3 linked regions of the Arabidopsis thaliana genome follow. The protein of the gene in region 3 interacts with the protein of the main gene of each other region in a pairwise test. Each region holds a gene or a part of one and is shown on either strand. Other genes may lie near its edges.

What was found.
Region 1: the proteins of AT5G22890 (region 3) and FIB interact in a two-hybrid assay, tested with the Arabidopsis thaliana proteins (one large-scale study listed by BioGRID).
Region 2: the proteins of AT5G22890 (region 3) and AT2G19650 interact in a two-hybrid assay, tested with the Arabidopsis thaliana proteins (one large-scale study listed by BioGRID).

What each region holds. Positions count from the first base shown.
Region 1 is NC_003075.7:1,929,069-1,935,248, forward strand, and holds FIB (fibrillin), read left to right. Parts: upstream 1-2,814; 5' UTR 2,815-3,092; coding exon 3,093-3,538; intron 3,539-3,880; coding exon 3,881-4,076; intron 4,077-4,163; coding exon 4,164-4,478; 3' UTR 4,479-4,882; downstream 4,883-6,180. Other genes in the region: AT4G04025 (transcription repressor), read right to left, coding at 4,941-4,955, 5,026-5,541. UniProt on the Arabidopsis thaliana protein: Probably involved in light/cold stress-related jasmonate (JA) biosynthesis. Contributes to the protection of photosystem II (PSII) against light stress.
Region 2 is NC_003071.7:8,492,171-8,498,902, reverse strand, and holds AT2G19650 (Cysteine/Histidine-rich C1 domain family protein), read left to right. Parts: upstream 1-3,010; 5' UTR 3,011-3,199; coding exon 3,200-5,248; 3' UTR 5,249-5,434; downstream 5,435-6,732. Other genes in the region: AT2G19660 (Cysteine/Histidine-rich C1 domain family protein), read left to right, coding at 111-2,183; ASHR2 (ASH1-related protein 2), read right to left, coding at 6,306-6,732.
Region 3 is NC_003076.8:7,651,826-7,657,868, forward strand, and holds AT5G22890 (C2H2 and C2HC zinc fingers superfamily protein), read right to left. Parts: upstream 3,011-6,043; 5' UTR 2,838-3,010; coding exon 1,716-2,837; 3' UTR 1,432-1,715; downstream 1-1,431. Other genes in the region: HTB2 (histone B2), read right to left, coding at 305-742; CHX3 (cation/H+ exchanger 3), read left to right, coding at 5,399-5,665, 5,746-6,043. UniProt on the Arabidopsis thaliana protein: Probable transcription factor. Together with STOP1, plays a critical role in tolerance to major stress factors in acid soils such as proton H(+) and aluminum ion Al(3+). Required for the expression of genes in response to acidic stress (e.g.

The sequences.
Region 1 (6,180 bases), on a different chromosome or scaffold from region 3:
GATCACCAAGAGTATAGGATCCTTCACTAGCCCAAAAGTATGGTTCTTTTACAGGATCTTTCCCCTTTCGTCGAAGTTCCCTATGAACAGGTTCACATTGAATTCCTGTAAGAACAAAAGACAGTTTAGAGACTATTATTACAGGTTTTATACTAAATACTTTAAAAACGATTGTAAATCATGTTTAACACTTTTAAAAGCTTTTAAAATCCCTTATAAATCATTCAATGTCACTTACTTATGCTTTAAAAACGATTGTAAACCATGCAGACACTTTTAAAATCCCTTGTAAATCATTCTATGACACTTACTTATGCTTTAAAAACAATTGTAAATCATGTTTAACCCTTCTAAAAGCTTTTAAAATCCCTTGTAAATCATTCTATTCAACTTACTTATGCTTAAAAAACGATTGTAAATCATGTTTAACCCCTTAGAAAAGGTTTTAAAATCCCTTGTAAATCATTCTATTCAACTTACTTATGCTTAAAAAACGATTGTAAATCATGTTTAACCCTTAGAAAAGATTTTAAAATCCCTTGTAAATTATTCTATCCCACTTACTTATGTTTTAAAATCGATTGTAAACCATGCAAACACTTCTAAAATCCCTTGTAAATCGTTTTAAGACACTTACTTATGCTTTTAAAATCCCATGTAAACGTGTTTAACACTTCTTTAAGCTTTTAAAATCCCTTGTAAATTATTCTATGTTAGTTACTTATGCCTAAAAACGGTTGTAAACCATGCATACCCTTTTTAAAATCCCTTGTAAATCATTATCTGCCACTAACTTATGCTTCTTAAATAATTGTTAATGAAGTAAACCCCTTTTAAAAGCTTTTAAAATCCCTTGTAAATTATCTATAACACTTACTTATGTTTTAAAAATGATTGTAAACTACGCAAACAGTTATGCAAATGCCTTGTAAATCATTCTACGACAGTTAATTAAGCTTTAAAAACGATTGTAAAACTTTATTACCTGTTGTGAGATAGAACTCTCTCAAGGAGAAACAGATAGGTTGAGAATCAACTCTAAACCAAAGAGTTGATCCTTTTGTTTTCACTCTCTGCTGCATGAGATAGTGAAAGATTTTCCCAGAAAATCTGATTCCCTTCTTAGCCTTCATTTTTGGTCCCAATTCAACTAGAAGACCAAGAAACGAACTTCTAATCTTCTGAAATAAACACTCGCCTAAAGCTTCCTCTACTTTACTAACTAAATTCCAATCCAAGTATTGTTGAACGGTTCCCAGTGCAATAGATTCCTCACCTTCTCTGTAGATCTGTTCAGGCAATGTAAGGATTTCACTCTCTGAATCCATCTGCAAAACATGTTATGAAACATCGTCAGATCTACTATAAAATCGACTATAAAATCGATTATAAAAACGGTTACCGTCGGATCTATCGATATCTCTGGGGATTGTTTGCGTCGTAGAGAAATGATCTGAATCCGTCAGCGAAGAACAGATTTATCGGAGAGGAAATTCGTCAGCGATTTTGGGGTTTCTCGGAGAGAAAATTTGTCGGCGATTTTGAGTGAAATCGGAGAGGAAATTCGTTGGCGATTTTGAGTGAAATCGGAGAGGAAATTCGTCGGCAATTTTGAGTGAAATCGGAGAGGAAATTCGCCGGCGATTTTGAGTGAAATCGGATAGGAAAATTCGTTGGCCAAAACGAAGAAGTTTGTGCCAAAACGAATTGTATTGTGAAACGAATGTGAAACCTAATCATTCAGTAAGGGTAAGACAGTCATTTGCCATATTAGAAAGGGTAGTTTTAAAAATGGCCTTCAGGAAAGGACATTTTTACAAAAGGTTATTAGAATAAGGGCAGTTTTGCAAATCTCCCAATTAAATATTAAAGTATTTTGAATCAATGGCATTTTTGTAATTAATCTAAACCGGAAGGATATTTTTTGGTTTATATTTTATTTCTCTTTCCTATTTACGTAAATAACATATTTTTATGTATAAATTCTTAATATTCTGTTTATCCATGTATATATTTTTAACTCACCCTATAGTTTTCTAAGTAATTTAAGTATTTTGGTTACATTTGGTTATATTTTGGTAAAATATAACTAATATATTTTTGGATAAACTAATCAGGCATCTCGGTTAGATTTAGGTATAGATGAGTAAAAAACTCGAACTCGACCTGAACCCAAAAATATTTTGAGTATTTTTGATTATTTTTCAATTCTTACTAAAATAACTAAATCGATCCAAACTCAAACCAAAACCGAACCAAAATTTTAGAATACATGAATGGTTTTTAACTTCATACCTAAATAGATCCGATACTCAAAAAAAAAAAGAACCGAACAGATATGAGTACCCGAATATCTACACCTGCCCAGTATTATTATTATTATTTTTTTTGAACAAACACCGGTACTATTATTTTACCAGCTAATTTTTCTCCCTTTAAGAACGTTTTGGACCTATTGGTCTATTGGATACAAAACTATTGTATTCATTTTAAATTTTTAATGGGTCTTCTTTGTTAATAAAGGCCCATTAAATATACTATCCAGGCCCATTTAGTCCAACTACTTATTACACTGTTGATTAATCGCCGTTTAGATATTTTGCATTGGAGAGAATCTTCACCGTTCAGAAAACTGAAGATCGAAGATCACCAAAACCGGCCAAAAAGTATAGTACACGTCCGAAGATTCTAGATCCATCATGCCATTTGCATTGCATGGCCTAACTCTCGTAGAAAACCCAAACAAATTCTCCCCCACACAAATAATGGGACAAAAACCAAATTAAACCAAATTGTTTCCCTATTGAAGAAAATAAAATCTTCCACAAATTTTATGAATTTTTCATAAAGTCGGCAACTTCACACGAGTCCAGGTCGATTCTTAAAACAATGATCTTTAACCATCCACGTGTCAAAATCCCACCTTAGCTTACCTCATTTGTTCTATTCCAAATACCTATTCTATCCCTTGGATCTTGACTTATATGTTCATAAGAAAGTGTACCAGATAAGGGTATATACGTCATTTACAGTCCAGCTCAACGGTTATAAAATCCTAATTCGTGAGGTTTCTCTGAAGAACAAACACAAAAATGGCGACGGTACCATTGTTCACCCAGTTTCCCTGCAAAACCCTAAATCCAAGCTCATCAAACACTAAACACCAATCGAAATCTCCGATCCTACTACCGATTAACTCAATAAATCGGCGATCGGAGATTGGAGTCTCTGTTCATCGGCCAGATTTCAAAATCCGAGCGACGGACATCGACGACGAATGGGGTCAAGATGGAGTGGAGAGAGTATTTGCCTCATCTTCAACCGTATCGGTAGCAGATAAAGCAATCGAATCCGTGGAGGAGACGGAGAGGCTAAAGAGATCACTAGCGGATTCGTTGTACGGAACAGATCGAGGTTTAAGCGTATCGAGTGATACGAGAGCTGAGATCAGCGAGCTCATCACACAGCTCGAGTCTAAGAACCCTACTCCAGCTCCTAACGAAGCTCTGTTTCTCCTCAACGGCAAATGGATCCTCGCGTAAGTACTTTTAGTTCTGATACTCTCCTAGGCACGGCATGTAATATTAGTTTTGTCCCAAACATTACTCAAACCGGTGATCTCTAAGCTTCGTCTAGGATCTTTACCAATTAAGTTAATGATACTTTAAACTTACCGGTGGAAGTTTAATTTCCCGGTGAAAACTGTTTAGTTCCGTTATGAATGATTTGATTTTGATAGTGAAAAGCAAGTTGTGGTTACAAAGAAGATTTAATTATGAATTTGGATTATGATTCTGTGTGTAGTTATGAGCCTTCGTTTATTTTTAGCCGTTATTGTTATGAATCAAGAACTTAGTTTTTAAGTGTTTATCTCGTGAAGCTACACGTCGTTCGTGGGGTTGTTCCCATTGCTCTCACGAAGAATTGAACCGTTGGTTAAAGTGGATGAGATCTCACAAACCATTGATTCCGATAGCTTCACCGTTCAAAACTCTGTCCGGTTCGCTGGTCCGTTTTCCACAACGTCGTTTAGCACCAACGCTAAGTTTGAAATCCGAAGTCCTAAACGTGTCCAGGTAAATCAAGAATCATCCCCTAAAACCACAAATGGCAAATGCTAATGTTACATAACCTAATTGTTTTTTTTGTTTTGTTTGTTGTAGATTAAGTTCGAGCAAGGTGTTATAGGGACTCCTCAGCTAACGGATTCGATTGAAATACCGGAATCCGTGGAGGTTCTTGGTCAGAAAATCGATCTCAATCCCATTAAAGGTTTACTTACATCAGTCCAAGACACTGCTTCTTCAGTGGCTAGAACCATTTCAAACCAACCACCATTGAAGTTTTCTCTGCCTAGTGACAACACGCAGTCGTGGCTGCTCACAACTTATCTCGACAAGGACCTTCGGATCTCGAGAGGCGATGGTGGAAGCGTCTATGTGCTCATCAAAGAAGGAAGCTCTCTCTTAAACCCTTAAATCATCATAACTCTCATCACATCCATAGTAACATATATACAAGTATAGACCCATCTGTCTATGTTTACTAGTGTTGTAACTGTTATATAGCTTCTTTACCTGTTGGAGAGTTATAAACTTATAATGGATGTTACTCTTGGTATACTGTACTACAATACATATACATAACTACATACTTGAACAGGCCAGTTATGGGTTTGCAACAGCAACACTTAGCATTGGTTCAAATTTGGTATACTAGGAGGGTTTGCATTCTGTATGGCATTCGGTTTTCCGGTTTAGTTTCAGTTCGAACTTTTGACTCGGATTGGATCAGGTTGTCAGCATTTTGGTCTGGTTTGAGTTTACAAAGGGGATACCAAATTGAAACCAAAATTTGTATCTAGTTCTGTAATTTTAATTTCAGTTATTTTTGGTTTATGAATGGTGGTAAATCTATTTATTACTTAGAAAACCGGTTTGTTACAAACCAGGTATCTTACACAAACATTTGAAAGAAACAACTGATCTTTGTTCACTCTTAGCTACGAAACAAATCAGCACAAACCTCGTAAAAGATCTCGAGAATGGCAGACCGATATTCGCGAGGATTCATCGATAGATAGTACTCCAAGAGGCTTCTAAGTTCATCTGCTTCTTTGATCTTGTTTGCTACAATCATCTCAACCATAGAGTCTCTAAAATCCTTTCTTGGATCAAAAGAACATTTCTCCATCGCCATCATGACAATGAACTTAGTGCTACTGATACTACCCTCACTTCTTCTTCTTCTTCTTCTCATCTTTTGTTGTCTTATCTTCTCTTGATGTGTGGCTTCTTGTGTCTCTCTGATCATCTGCTCTAGCTTCTCCTGAACCATGTAGTGTGCTAGACTAGAGAGCGAACCGTGATGGTCTGAAAATCTTGAACTCTTGTCTGCTTCCACCGAGGAAGAAGAAGAAATGCTGAGTCTTGCTTTGTTGCTGCAACACAAAGCTCTGCAGACTCTTGCTTCTTTTGTTTGGTGTTGTGATTGTTTGTTATGCTTCTCTGCTTTTTCTTCTGCTCTGTTTATGAGTTTCATGTTGAAAGTTAAGTCACATTATAATCAGGTTTTGAGGATTTTAGATGTTTGTAAACGCAAATAGAAAAGAGTTCTAATTAAAACATTTATGTGTAAATTGAAAATGTGGGGCTTGTTCATCATGATTATGTCTTGATCATAATATAATTAAAACCTCAATAAACGATATATTTTTAAATTTTAGTCTCGCAACAAGTTTCCAACGTTATTCATTTGTGTAAACTAATATTTATTTATTTATATTCTTCAAAATCATTATCTAGTATCTACGATTTGTGTTCATAATGCAATACAAAGTCGTACACTTAGATATATAAGGTTAGATTGAACTTTCATTTAATTTTTCGAATTGATAAATTTTCTACAAGATCAAAGAAAAGAGTGTGTTCAGTGAAATTTGATTCATTATTTCAAGTCATTGAAACAATGATAAATCGACCACTATCACTTAACTAATATATAATTAAGGCTTATTGGAAAAAAAAGATGTTGTAGTTTCTGAAAAATATATGTCAAATCAAAAGTAGGAATATAATAGAGAACATTAGGTCTGATTGAAGATAACTGTTTTTTTTTTTTTTTTTTGAAGAAAGGAGTACTAAATGCATGTATTTGTGTCGTGTTTTAGAAATATAGGGG
Region 2 (6,732 bases), on a different chromosome or scaffold from region 3:
AGTTGTTTCACATGGCGTGGACGCTGGATCTCAGTGGCAACAATAATCAATATTTCACGTGGTATGGCATTAATTTTGATCATATGCATTATTTGATTATTCATCGTTATATGCCCACTTTGAGAGATCCGATAGAAACAAAAATAGAAAAGAAAAACATCACAAAAGAGATCTGTGGTTTGATTTGGATCACCATGGAAAAAGTAGAGGTACCACCAATTCATAACCATCCGCTGTTACCTTTTACTCGTTTTTCCTACAAGGCTTGTAAAGGGTGTGGGTATGTTGGTTACATATATGGAGGCTACCATTGCAATGAGTTGGGGTGTGAATCTGTGTTTCATAAAGAGTGTGCCGACCCGTTACCAGAAATCAACCACTATTCTCATCCAGACCATCCTCTAAAGCTCCTCATAAATGTCGAACCACTTGCTTCTTGTAGCCAGTGTCCATCTTCGTTTGAAAATGGTTATCTTTGTTCGATTTGTGACTTCAAGTTGGATTTTCGTTGCGCGACGAGGTTGCCTTTGGAATTTATTCTTGAAGAATCCACTGTCCACGAGCATCCGATTCAGCTCTCTGATGGAACCCGTGACGGTTTTGTGCAACTTTGCAAAACATGCAAATGGGGAGTTTTCGATGCTGTTCATTACAAATGTAATAAATGCGATTTACGCTTTCATGTGGAGTGTACCAAACTTTTTCCACAAGCTAGCCACGTTTTACACCCCCAACACCCACTCAAGCTCCTTAGATGTGAAGAAGCACCCGATTACGCCGACAACAAGTGTCTTCTTTGCGGGAATAAGTTTGACGGACGAATTCACCACTGTGATGTTTGTAACTTTACCATATGTGGCGGCTGTATGGAAAACCCACCGCCGCTTAGTGTTGTAAGCCCGACCACCCATGAGCATCAACTTTATCTTCTTTCAAAACCTCTCGGTTTCACTTGCAATGCTTGCGGGACTCAAGCTGATCAAAGCCCTTATTTCTGTCTTCAATGCAACTTCATGATTCATTGGGAGTGTATCGATTTGCCCCGCGTCATAAACATCAACCGCCACGATCATCGCATCTCCTACACTCGTCGTCTTGGACATGGGCAAAATACATGCGGGGTTTGTCGTAAAAAGGTTGATGGCTTCTACGGGGGTTATTCTTGCTCAAAATGTTCTAACTATGTTGTTCACTCGAGATGCGCAACGGACGAGGATGTATGGGACATGATAGAGCTAGAAGGGACACCCGAAGAGCCAGAGGAAGATGCGCCATTCGAGGTGATTGATGATAACACGATCAAACATTTTAGCCATGATCATAACTTAGTAATCAACAAGGATGGGAGGATTCTCCATGAAAGCACACTATGTAAAGCATGTGTCTTCCAGATCTGTTCAGATGCGTTCTACAGTTGCGAGAATTGTGACTTCATTCTCCACCAAAAATGTGCTAACCTGCCTCGGAAGAAACGGCATGTTTGCGACAACCTACCATTTACCCTAGTCACAAATGATACTTCAGACGAAACTTCATGTGATCTTTGTTGGCAAAGTTTCACCGGTTTCAGGTACGAGTGTCTTACTCGTATGGTTACTCTAGATGTACGATGTGGTTCAATTCGAGAACCATTGGTGCACCAAAGCCATCAACATCCCTTATACTTTTCGAAACGTAGTTCTAAGTCTTGTACGGAATGTGGCAAAAACATGGATCTAGATATAGGAAGCTTTAGCTGTGATGAGTGTGACTATAGTTTGGACTTCAAGTGTGCTCTTTTACCGCAGAAAGTAAAGTGGCATAGATACGACGATCATCCTCTTTACTTGTCGTGTGGTGAAAGTAGTGTGGATGGAGAATACTGGTGTGAAGCATGTGAAACAAAAGTGAATTCGAAGAAATGGTTCTATACATGCAATGATTGTGGTGTCATATTGCATATTTCATGCGTTGTGGGAGACTTCTCATATTATATGCCAGGTTCCAAAATAGGATGGGAGGAAGACTTGGTGGTATCCAACACCTCTATGTGTAGACCATTTTGCTATGTGTGTAACTCTCAATGCAAGCTTCCTTCCATTGTTAAGGTCGTTTCCAAAGCCGATGTTGTTTTATACATTTGTTCTTTAAACTGTTATTATAATTTCAACCGCTCTAATAACTACTCTAGTAGTGATTGGTAAGGCATGTTTTAATGAAGAAAAACTTTGTACCATTTAATTCCAAAAGTATGTTTTACAATAGTTTTTTTTTAACCTCAAGCTTATGCGCTTTTTCCACAATTATCAATCTTTTGAATCCAGTCAGCAGCAGTCTCAATGATCTTAGAAACAGAATTTCTTAACAGGATATTTAAAAGAACAAGTTTCTTGACATTAGAGCTGGAACTGGAATCTGGTCTCTGTTTTGTGCTAAAGCAAGAGCAGCTCATGTATACGCAGTATGTCTTTTTAACTTCTTTATTAATCAAAATTTGCTCTGAGTGATTTGAATACATGTGATTTGACAAATGATTCTTCGAATGTTTCAGATGGTATATATATGTTAACTTTATAGTGTTATTCAAATGGGTTATACAATCTGATGGTGGAAATAGAACTTACTTTTGGCTGTATAAAAATTAAAAAACAAAGATTGGCCCAATCCTGGTCTTAAAGACAAAAATACAAATCTTTTGGTCTGAAATTACATAAAAGTTAGTGGATGCAATACAATAATAAAACTTTGGTTTCAGAGACTTGAATGCAGCAAAGTCTACCTCCAAAGCTACTTGGCCAAGGAGTTGTGTGGTTCAGACTTCAAACTGTTTTTTCCACAAAATGTACAGTTCCATCCATTTAAATTCTAAACTATTCTATCCATAAACTTCTATTCCATTTAATGCAAGAAAAAACCTTTTTTGTATTCATTCAATTATTTATGTTTTGGCCGGACACAATAGTTGCAGAGTCAACATATGTGGTCTGAGTTAATTAAATAATGCAAGGATGAAGCCAACACATGTGGTCTCAATCTCAGTAATGAAAAGAATCATTTCTGTGGTGCGAATTCATATTAACTATTTGCAAAGTCTGAAAATGATAAACCACTTGAAAAAAAATCCTGAAAGAAAAGAAAGAGAGAAAAACAAGAAACCAAGTCTGAAACTAGTGCAGAAGAGAAGAGCTTTGTGTTTTGGTGGAAGTAAGAAAACATCACCATGGAAAACTTTCTAGCTTTGTTTAATGAAGGCATGGACGAAGAAGCATCCCGCCTTGAAAAATTGTTACCATTTCATGAGCATCCGTTGATACCTTTTACACGCTTCGAGTTCACCAAGTGTAAAGGATGCTACTCGACCGATGAAGATAATACAAGCTTCATTTCCAAACATCCCGGTTGCAGTTACATTTACGGAGGACACCGATGCAATGAGCCGGGATGTGATGTTGTGTTCCATGAAGAGTGCGCCAAGCCGTTACCAGAAATCGACCACCCTTACCATCCAGTCCATCCTCTCAAGCTGATCCTCCTACATACCAGAGTTTCTAATTGTAGTTTCTGTGGAGAATTTTTCAGTGTCGGTTATCGCTGTAACAAATGTGATTTCCAGTTGGATTTGATTTGCGCGAGGAGACCAGCCCTACTTGTTCTTGCTGAAAACTCCTACCTACACGAGCATCCACTCCAACTCTCCCATGAAGCGCACGAAACACTCAGAGATTGCAAAGGGTGTGGCCATCAACATAATAGCTGGAAACATTTCTACACATGTCATCAATGCGAGTTTTTCATCAGTCTGGATTGTATCGATCATAATAGTCCAGAAGCATACCACACTTCTCACCCCCAACACCCACTCAAGTCACTTAGATATGAAGTCCCTGGTTACGCCGACAAGAAATGTCTTCTTTGCCGCGAGGAGTTTGATGGAATCCATCGCCAGCTTCACCACTGTGGTGTTTGTAATTTTAGCATATGCAGATCATGTATGAAAAACCCACCACCGGTTCTTGTTAAAAGCCCGAGGACCCATGAACATCAACTTCACCTTGTTCCAAGACGCATTGACTTCACTTGCAATGCTTGTGGGACGCTAGGTGACCGTAGCCCTTATTTCTGTCTTCAGTGCAATTTCATGATTCATCGGGAATGTATCGATCTACCTCGCGTCATAAACATCAACCGCCACGACCACCGCATCTCTTACACCCCTCGCCTCGGACATGGAGACGGGAAATGCAGAGTTTGTCGTAAAAATGTGGATGGGTTCTACGGGGCTTATTCTTGCTCCAAATGTTTTGATTATTTTGTTCATTCAAGATGCGCAACCAGAAGGGATGTATGGGACATGATCGAACTGGAAGGGACACCCGAAGAAGAGGAAACTGCGCCATTCAAGGTGATTGATGACAACACGATAGACCATTACGGCCATAAGCATAACTTACGAATTTACCGTGGCTGGAATCTACCAGAAAGTGTAGTTTGTACCGCATGTGTCTTCCAGATTTGTTCAGAACCGTTCTACGCTTGCGCGAGAAAGAGATGCGATTTCATAATCCACGAAAAATGTGCCAAGCTTCCTTTAAAGAAACGTCATGTGTGCCACAACCAGCCACTCGAACTATCCCCAAATTATGGCACCTACTTGTTACATAGGTGTAGTATTTGCCGTCAACTGTTCACCGGTTTCTCCTATGAATCTAAGGAATTAAGGATAGATGTACGGTGCGCTACAGTTACAGAACCATTTGAGCACAAAAGCCATCAACATCCTTTACACTACTCTACAGATCACTCCAAACGTTGTAGTGAGTGTGATGGAGACGGGAAATTGAGTTGCGATGATTGTGAATTTGGTTTGTGCTTCAAGTGTGCTATTTTACCGCAAAAGGTAATGAGGCATAGGTACGACGATCATCCTCTCTTCTTATCTTATGGCGAAATGGGCGTGGCTGGCAAATATTGGTGTGAAGCATGCGAAACAACTGTGAACCCAGAAAAATGGTTCTATACATGCAATGAGTGTGGGATCACATTGCATATTTCCTGCGTTATAGATACTTACGCATATTCCATGCCAGGAGCGTTAACATGGATAGGAACATTTGTATCCAACCACTCTATTTGTAGACCACTTTGCTGCGTGTGCAACTCTCGATGCAAGCTCCCTTTCGTTCGTACGCTTCCCGAGGACGGAGCTGATCTATACTTTTGTTCTTTAGAATGTGAGAAGAAAATTTATCAGGAACGTTTCGAATTTTAAAATTATGTTCTTTACTATGTTTAGAAAACTATTTATTTATAGATGATAATGTTTGCTAGCTTGAATGACTCGCAAATTTGGTAGAATTTGTGAGGAATCTGGGTCTGTTAAATTATTACAAGTCCCTACAATAACATTTGGTTGTGTACTTGTGTTAGTGTAATATATATATATCTCATTGAACCCTAGGGTGCATTAGTGTTTGCCAAATAAAAACCAGAAAAAATATCAACTTATTTATGGATGTAAGATTGGAAAAGGTTGGATCAATCTTGCCAGTCAATCCACTAAATGTTTAAGTTCCTACAAGTCGAAATGTCAATGACAAAAACAGAGACGTGGAAGTGAGAACAGAGCAGAGCAAAACAGAACATAGCAGAGTAAGTCAGTCAGAGCAGGTTGTGTTGTAGAATCACATTAGTTCTCTGATAGAGAAGCCAAAAAACTCAGTTTGTGTTGTTGAACTTGGAACAGAATGAGAACAAGTTAATCACTAAAAAATGTTTGTGTCACCGTCATGTTGCGACCTTAAAACAGAGCCCCCTAATAATTTTTTGTTACACTGGTTCTATTGAATCTATTTTATGGAAAAACTATTACACAATTTGGTTTACCAATACATTGATCCCTATCAAGGAAGCTATGGTTTCAGGCACTGAGCACACTGAAGAGTAATAGAGATTAACAATGCAAACATCATCAAGCCATGTAATTCTGCAGTTTTCAACTTAAAAAGTCAAAAAAATTATGATTTTTCATTCAACCAAAGAAAACTGATGCTCCATTATTACAACAAAACTGTTTCCGTGTAATTCCACAGACCATTACAATTGATTCTTCAGACTATCTAGGAGAAAACAAAAAACCTAGATATGGAATTCTAGAGCTAGAATACTTATCGAATTTTCAAAACTGAGTAAAAAAAAAAAAGTAAACATCAAACAACAAACAACATTGATTAACGATGTGGTCCAAGACAAGTCTCTTGTTGTTTGGGTCTGGCTGCATCAAACAAGCTTGAGATTTTCGGCTGATCAATTCTTTAAGCTAACCTTCCTCATTGATTTACGCCAACTTCATCCTCCTTAACGCTTCCACAAACATTACATTCAAGAACTCTCGAAGCATCATGAGTCTTCGGGGGAAGCGGAGCTAGAGTGCCAAAACAATTCTCCTTCTCACACATATATCTCACAAAAAAGTAAGCATGAGGAAAATTAGATTCATCATCCACACCATTTCCACAAACTTCTTCTTCATTCTCACCTACTGAATCTTCCATCTCTTCTTGTTCATCTTGATCCTCCATCTCTTCCATAATCTCATTCTCATCTTCCTCACCTTCAGACCAACTAAATTCCACTTTGCACCGATCACAGTCACACTTAAAACCGTAATCCTCAAGCAATCTCTTTTGTCTACTCGAATAGTTCATGTTCACAGGGAAGTAGCTTAAACAAACTTCTCTACCTTCAGGAACATCA
Region 3 (6,043 bases):
CTTGGACAATACTTCTCAAATCAAAGCTTAGATATATACGCAATGAGAATCACTGTTTCAATTTTTTTTATCTCAGTTAAAGTGGAGCTCTTTAGATTCTAATCAAAATTAACAGATTTGAGAAATTGAGCAATGAAATTGCAATCGAACATTGGAAAATTAAGTAGATTTCATAGCCGTGCCATAAATTAAAACCCTAATTCCCATATTACATAACCCTCAAAGATACCCAAAAGCATAAACCCTATTTCACATTCCAACTACTACTACTACTTCTCCTCCATTACAAAACCACATTCCAAATCTAAGAACTCGTAAACTTCGTAACCGCCTTAGTCCCTTCAGAAACAGCATGTTTCGCCAACTCTCCAGGCAACACAAGTCTCACCGCAGTCTGAATCTCCCTAGAAGTAATCGTCGGCTTCTTGTTGTACCTCGCAAGCTTCGAAGACTCACCAGCAAGTTTCTCAAAGATATCATTGATGAAACTGTTCATGATTCCCATGGCTTTGCTGGAGATTCCGATATCTGGATGAACTTGCTTCAACACCTTGAAGATGTAGATCTTGTATGTCTCAACGTTCTTCTTTGATCTCTTCTTCTTCTTGTCTCCGGCGCCGGCTGGTTCCTTCGGGAGTTTCTTTCCGGCTTTTGGTTTCTTCTCTGCCGCTGCTGCTGGTTCGGCTGCCGGAGTTTTCTCTGCCGGTTTCTTCTCCGCTGGTTTCTTATCTGCCTTCGCCATTTTCAAACTTTTCTAGGGAGTGAGTTTTTTTTGCTGTGATGGTTTTGATTTGATACTGTTATCTTCGAGAATTGTGTGTTTGTTTATATAAGAGAATAGGAAGAGATCTGATTAGTTAAGATACTGAAACGCGGATGCGTGACGTGGAGATATGAGTGCTGTTCGATGAAGGGTTTTGGTGAATGGATGGTTCAGATCTATTTTACTTTAATGCGCGAGTGATTTTAAATTTCTTTTTCGAAATATTGAAAAATTCGAATTTTCTGTTGCGCTTTTTGTTATCCGCCATAAGTTCATGAAGCGGCAAAGAGAGAAAAAGTTTTTGGCGTGGATAGCTGACGTGGTTACTTTTGATCCGTCTACCAATGAACGGCTATGATTTTACCGTATCTACAAAGTTGGTAACAACTTTTTCCTATCTAACATTTTTATGGAAATGAAGAACTAATGCATAATTATAAGTTTTCAACTCTTTCAAAATTCTTCAAAAATAACCAACTTTTTATAGATACAAATTTTGAATTTCTCTAAAATACAAACATTTAGTTCAGCTTAATAAGTTGGACTCATCTTAATAAGTTAATATGTAGTTGTATTTTAACAGAGTTAACGATGTTTCTTATATTTTCTTAAAATTCTGCATGATATATCAATAGATAGTTGTTGATTAATCTGAGAAGTGAGAGACGTATTAAACATAAATTTTGATTCTCACTGATTCCACATATTTCTGAGATTAGTGAAAATCTATGCATGATACCCATCAGAACCAAAATCATTTGTAACATTAACGTTAATGCACAAGTCACTATGATACAAATCTGTATATTATCTTATCTTTGTGACATTAATTTAGAGAATATAGAAACTCGTGAAAAGAAAAAGAACAAAAAAAAGAGAGGGAGTGAATGCACGTGTCATTTCTTGAGATATCGTCTATGAAATCTCTATAGACCTCAAACTTCCTATGTTCTTACTTTAGGGTGATTGTCGGCGGCTTGGACGACCCATGTGCCGGTACGTGGCCCAAAAACAAAGAAACGTGGCTCATCAGCTTGTCTTTCCTAGAAAATTTAGTCCCACAAGAGCAAACCCACTTTATATCCCCACAATGCTTCTCGTGTGTCCTAAGATCAGACAGAACCGAGAAATGCTTCACACTACATCTCCTGCACATATACATTTTGGGACAATGACTCCTCTTGTAATGATTCTTGGCGCAAATCACAGATTTCAACGGTTGAAACTTCTCGTGCCTCTGGTTCCATCTACACCCGTGTTGAGGACAGGAGTAGTAATGTTTCTTTAACGAGTATCCTCCTTTCTTGTCTTGGCTCGTTGGGCTGATCAAGGCCTCACGTGTCTTGTACTCATCCCCGTGCGCTCTCATGTGCATCCTTAGATTAGCGTCTCTCTTAAACCCTTTCCCACAAATCTGGCAGTAATGCGTGTATTTCGCTAGTAGGTCCGCTACGTCTAGCTCCAGTATATCGTAGCTCCCGGAACTTGGTTTAGAACGATGTTTATCTTTTTTAGGGTTTATGGTTTCGGTGTTGTACCAATCAAGATTCTGGTCGGGAAACGAGATCTGCCCTCTTTCTTGGACACCAAAAAGGTTGGTCGACTCTTGCACAAAATCATGACCCGGGTCGGTTTCTTGTCGGGAAAACTCCAAAACCATTGCATCTACGGTTTGATCATTATCGATATCGTTGTTGTTGTTGTTAGATCCGATTTGGAGTTGTTGGCAAGTATATAACATGGATGAAGCAGCCGTGATGATCTCTTGAACCAAACTTCCGATGTTAGCCACGGCCAAAGACGTTGACCCCGAGGATTGGTTAATGTTATTAGTAGATACCATGTAGAAGCTGACCAGAGATTGGATCTGATGGACTTTTTCATGTAAGGTAGATAGATTGTATAGAAGAGAGAGTGAAACGTCGTCGTCTTCCATTGATTTCGTCCCGGTCGTGGTCACGGGATTAACATAGATTTGTTTTGAGGAAGTACTGGTCTCCCCGGAGAAGCTAGAGATTGATCCTTCAACTTTCTTTGCAATATGCTCATCTCGATTCATCATATGTATATGCATGTATATGAAGAATCTAGCTTGAGTTTTGTTCTTATATTTTCTTTGGATTTTGTTGAATCTTTAAATTCTTTGTGGTATATTTGTTTCATATATATGCCAGACGGTCCAGACTCTAGAGAGATGCAATGAAGAAGACACCCTACCCTCTACCGTATAAAATACTCGCGAGTTGTGACATACATTCACACAAAATAACACACACAAACAAATACATGTCACACATATAGTAATTTATTTTTTCGTTTCACTTTATCAAACATCTTAAAATCGGAAAGATTATACTAAATTGAGTAAAATTTGAAAACTAAGCTATTGAACCTAACTATATTTTGAACCTTGCAGTTTATTAGTGATTTAAAATCCAAAAGATATTTTGATCCAAACAAAATATTGTAATTAAAAAAAAAAACATTCTAATTGATATATTATGTCAAGTAATGTTTTTTTTTCTTAATTTAGAAGTTAGAATTTAAGAATTTTATGTTTTCTAGAGACGGGACACACGTTAGGTTACATTCATCTGTTTTAGAAAGAAAAAAAAAATTAGCGGGGGTTGATGAACCCTTAATCAACCATTGGGCCAAAGGACTTCCACAACTATATTTGTTTATGTTTATGTTTGATTTTATTTAAAATCAGATATTTAATTAAAGATTTACAAAGATGTTTTAAATTAAAAAGACATCTAGACGTTTATAAATATACGATACATAGAAGTTGTAAATAATGTCTTTTTGTCAATAATGACAATAATATGCAATATACAGATTTTGATGAACCCGGATGCTGGCAAGAGAAAACGCTAGAAAAGTTCAATAGACTAAGTTTTTGTCGTCATGAATGATGTTTTTTCTTCTCTCTAAATGCATTTGTCATGTATATGAATTATTTACATTAGGTTGAAAATGGAATAATAGAAGTATGTGATGTGGTTAGGATTAACTTGGAAGTCAACTCGAGATAGCAAAAGCGACCATCCCCACATAAATCCTCCCCCGGATGAAACCTTAACTAGACTTTGTCAGCTACATCTTATGAGTTAAATAAACGAAGAAGGTCAATCCCGATGTAATTAAAGAATGATTAACCTAAGTCAAGTGTTAGTGTTCTTTCATGGCCTTTTCTTGTATTGTTCTATATACAATACGTTCTGTAACTGTCAAGCTCACATCTATATAATATCTTATGTCAAATCCAATCCTTTAAAAAAAAAGTTGCGACTACATTCAGTTCTCTTATCTGCTTACATGCACACATATTTTTTTTTCTTTTCATGCACACATATTTGTACACGCGTGCATATACGATTATATGATTGGATCTTACATGAAATGTTTATAATGTGGCCATCGGCATGAGTTGCAATTATATTAAATAAATATTGCTTATGCGTGCTCATTTTTTAATTTCGGAAGAAGTAGTTTTGTTGGTGACTAATCAAAATTTCTATGCAGTGATGATGATATGGGTGATCAATGCTGTTTCTTGGGGTTAGCTTTGGTGAGTTACGTTACTTTTTGTCCTTTAGAAGAAAAAAATGCCACGTTAGTTAACGCTTTTTAAAAAAAAGAAGTTGCTGCTACCATTACAGTGACAGTGTATTCCACATGCGATTCTAGTAGAGTTTTTTAGTTCTTTTTGCTGGGAACCAACCTGCAAACCACATTTGTAAATAAGACGTTATTAAACCAGACTTCACTAATATAGGCCAGTCGAACTGGCTCACCACAACATGGGAATGTAGGATGACATGAATCTCTGAATTACAAATGTCATGTATATAATTACCCTCAGTTTTAAAATGCTACACCAAACAAATTCAACTCAACTACTTTAATTTAGTTTTCAAGTTTCCAATATGTGACCAAAAAGTGAAAGCTAACAAAAACAAGACCTTTGCGTAGCTGGGAGTTCGAACTCCACTTTCCCTATTATTACGTACTTTGTCAAATAAAAAAAGAAAATATAAAGAAAAAAAATACACAAATTTCTTTTGGAAAAATTATGCTTGCTACCCAAGCTAACTATTTTTGAATGAGTTTTAAATTGCAATTTCAAATTCCTCCAATCTGATCACCGGGACGTGAGCAAGAACACGGGATCGGAGATGATTACTCGTCATCATAATCTGATGATCCATCGGAATCACCGGAGAAATAGAGGCGGCACGTGGTATCGCCAGAAGTTGGATTGTAATTTCTTTCTTCATGACCTTTGGCAATTTGTCTGTTGTAGTTTGCTCAATTACCCGTAAATTAGCAGAATTAAGTTGTAACCTGTAAAAACTAACAGTAATCAGACAATCCTTTAAAATATATATATTTATGTCGCCGGCCAAAACCTGTTTCTTGTTGGTAACGTTTGCCCATTCATTATTTACTATTATTAGGGTTTTAAAACTCAGATGATCACTTGTTCTTTAGATTCTGTTACCTAAACAGTAAAAGAAGAATTAATTCATATAAAAGATCCAAATCCTTGTAATCCTTCTCCGATAACACATTGCTCCTGGAATCTTTTTTTTTTTTTAATTTGTTTCATTTGAGGGTTCATCATCATCAATGGAGGTGTTTGGAGATAATAAGATGTTTTACATGAGAGACACATGGAGAGAAGGAACCATGATTTGTGACGTCTTACCTATCAACCCTAGCTCCAATGGTGTTTGGCCGCAACAAAAATTCTCAGATCCTAACATCAATGTTCATTTCTGGAATTACGCGTTTCCACACTTGCAAATGATATTTCTCATCATCTCTTTCTTATGGCAATTCTTACATTTCTTCCTTCGACGTCTTGGCATGATACGTTTCACTTCTCATATGCTTGTAAGTAATCGAAAATCTCGATTTCGTTTTCTTGTTATCTGGATTTGAAATTTGAGGTTTGTGTTGATCTTTGTTTGTAGACTGGTGTTCTTTTAAGCAAGTCTTTTCTAAAGGAGAATTCAGCAGCGAGAAGATTCTTTTCTACAGAGGATTACAAAGAGATTGTGTTTAGTCTCACTGCTGCTTGTTCTTACATGATGTTCTGGTTCTTGATGGGAGTTAAAATGGACACGGGTTTGATCCGAACCACAGGAAGAAAAGCTATCACCATTGGGCTCTCCTCTGTTTTACTTTCGACGTTAGTTTGTTCCGTTATCTTCTTCGGAAACTTAAGGGACGTTGGAACGAAAAACTCAGACCATACTCTCAATTCATTAG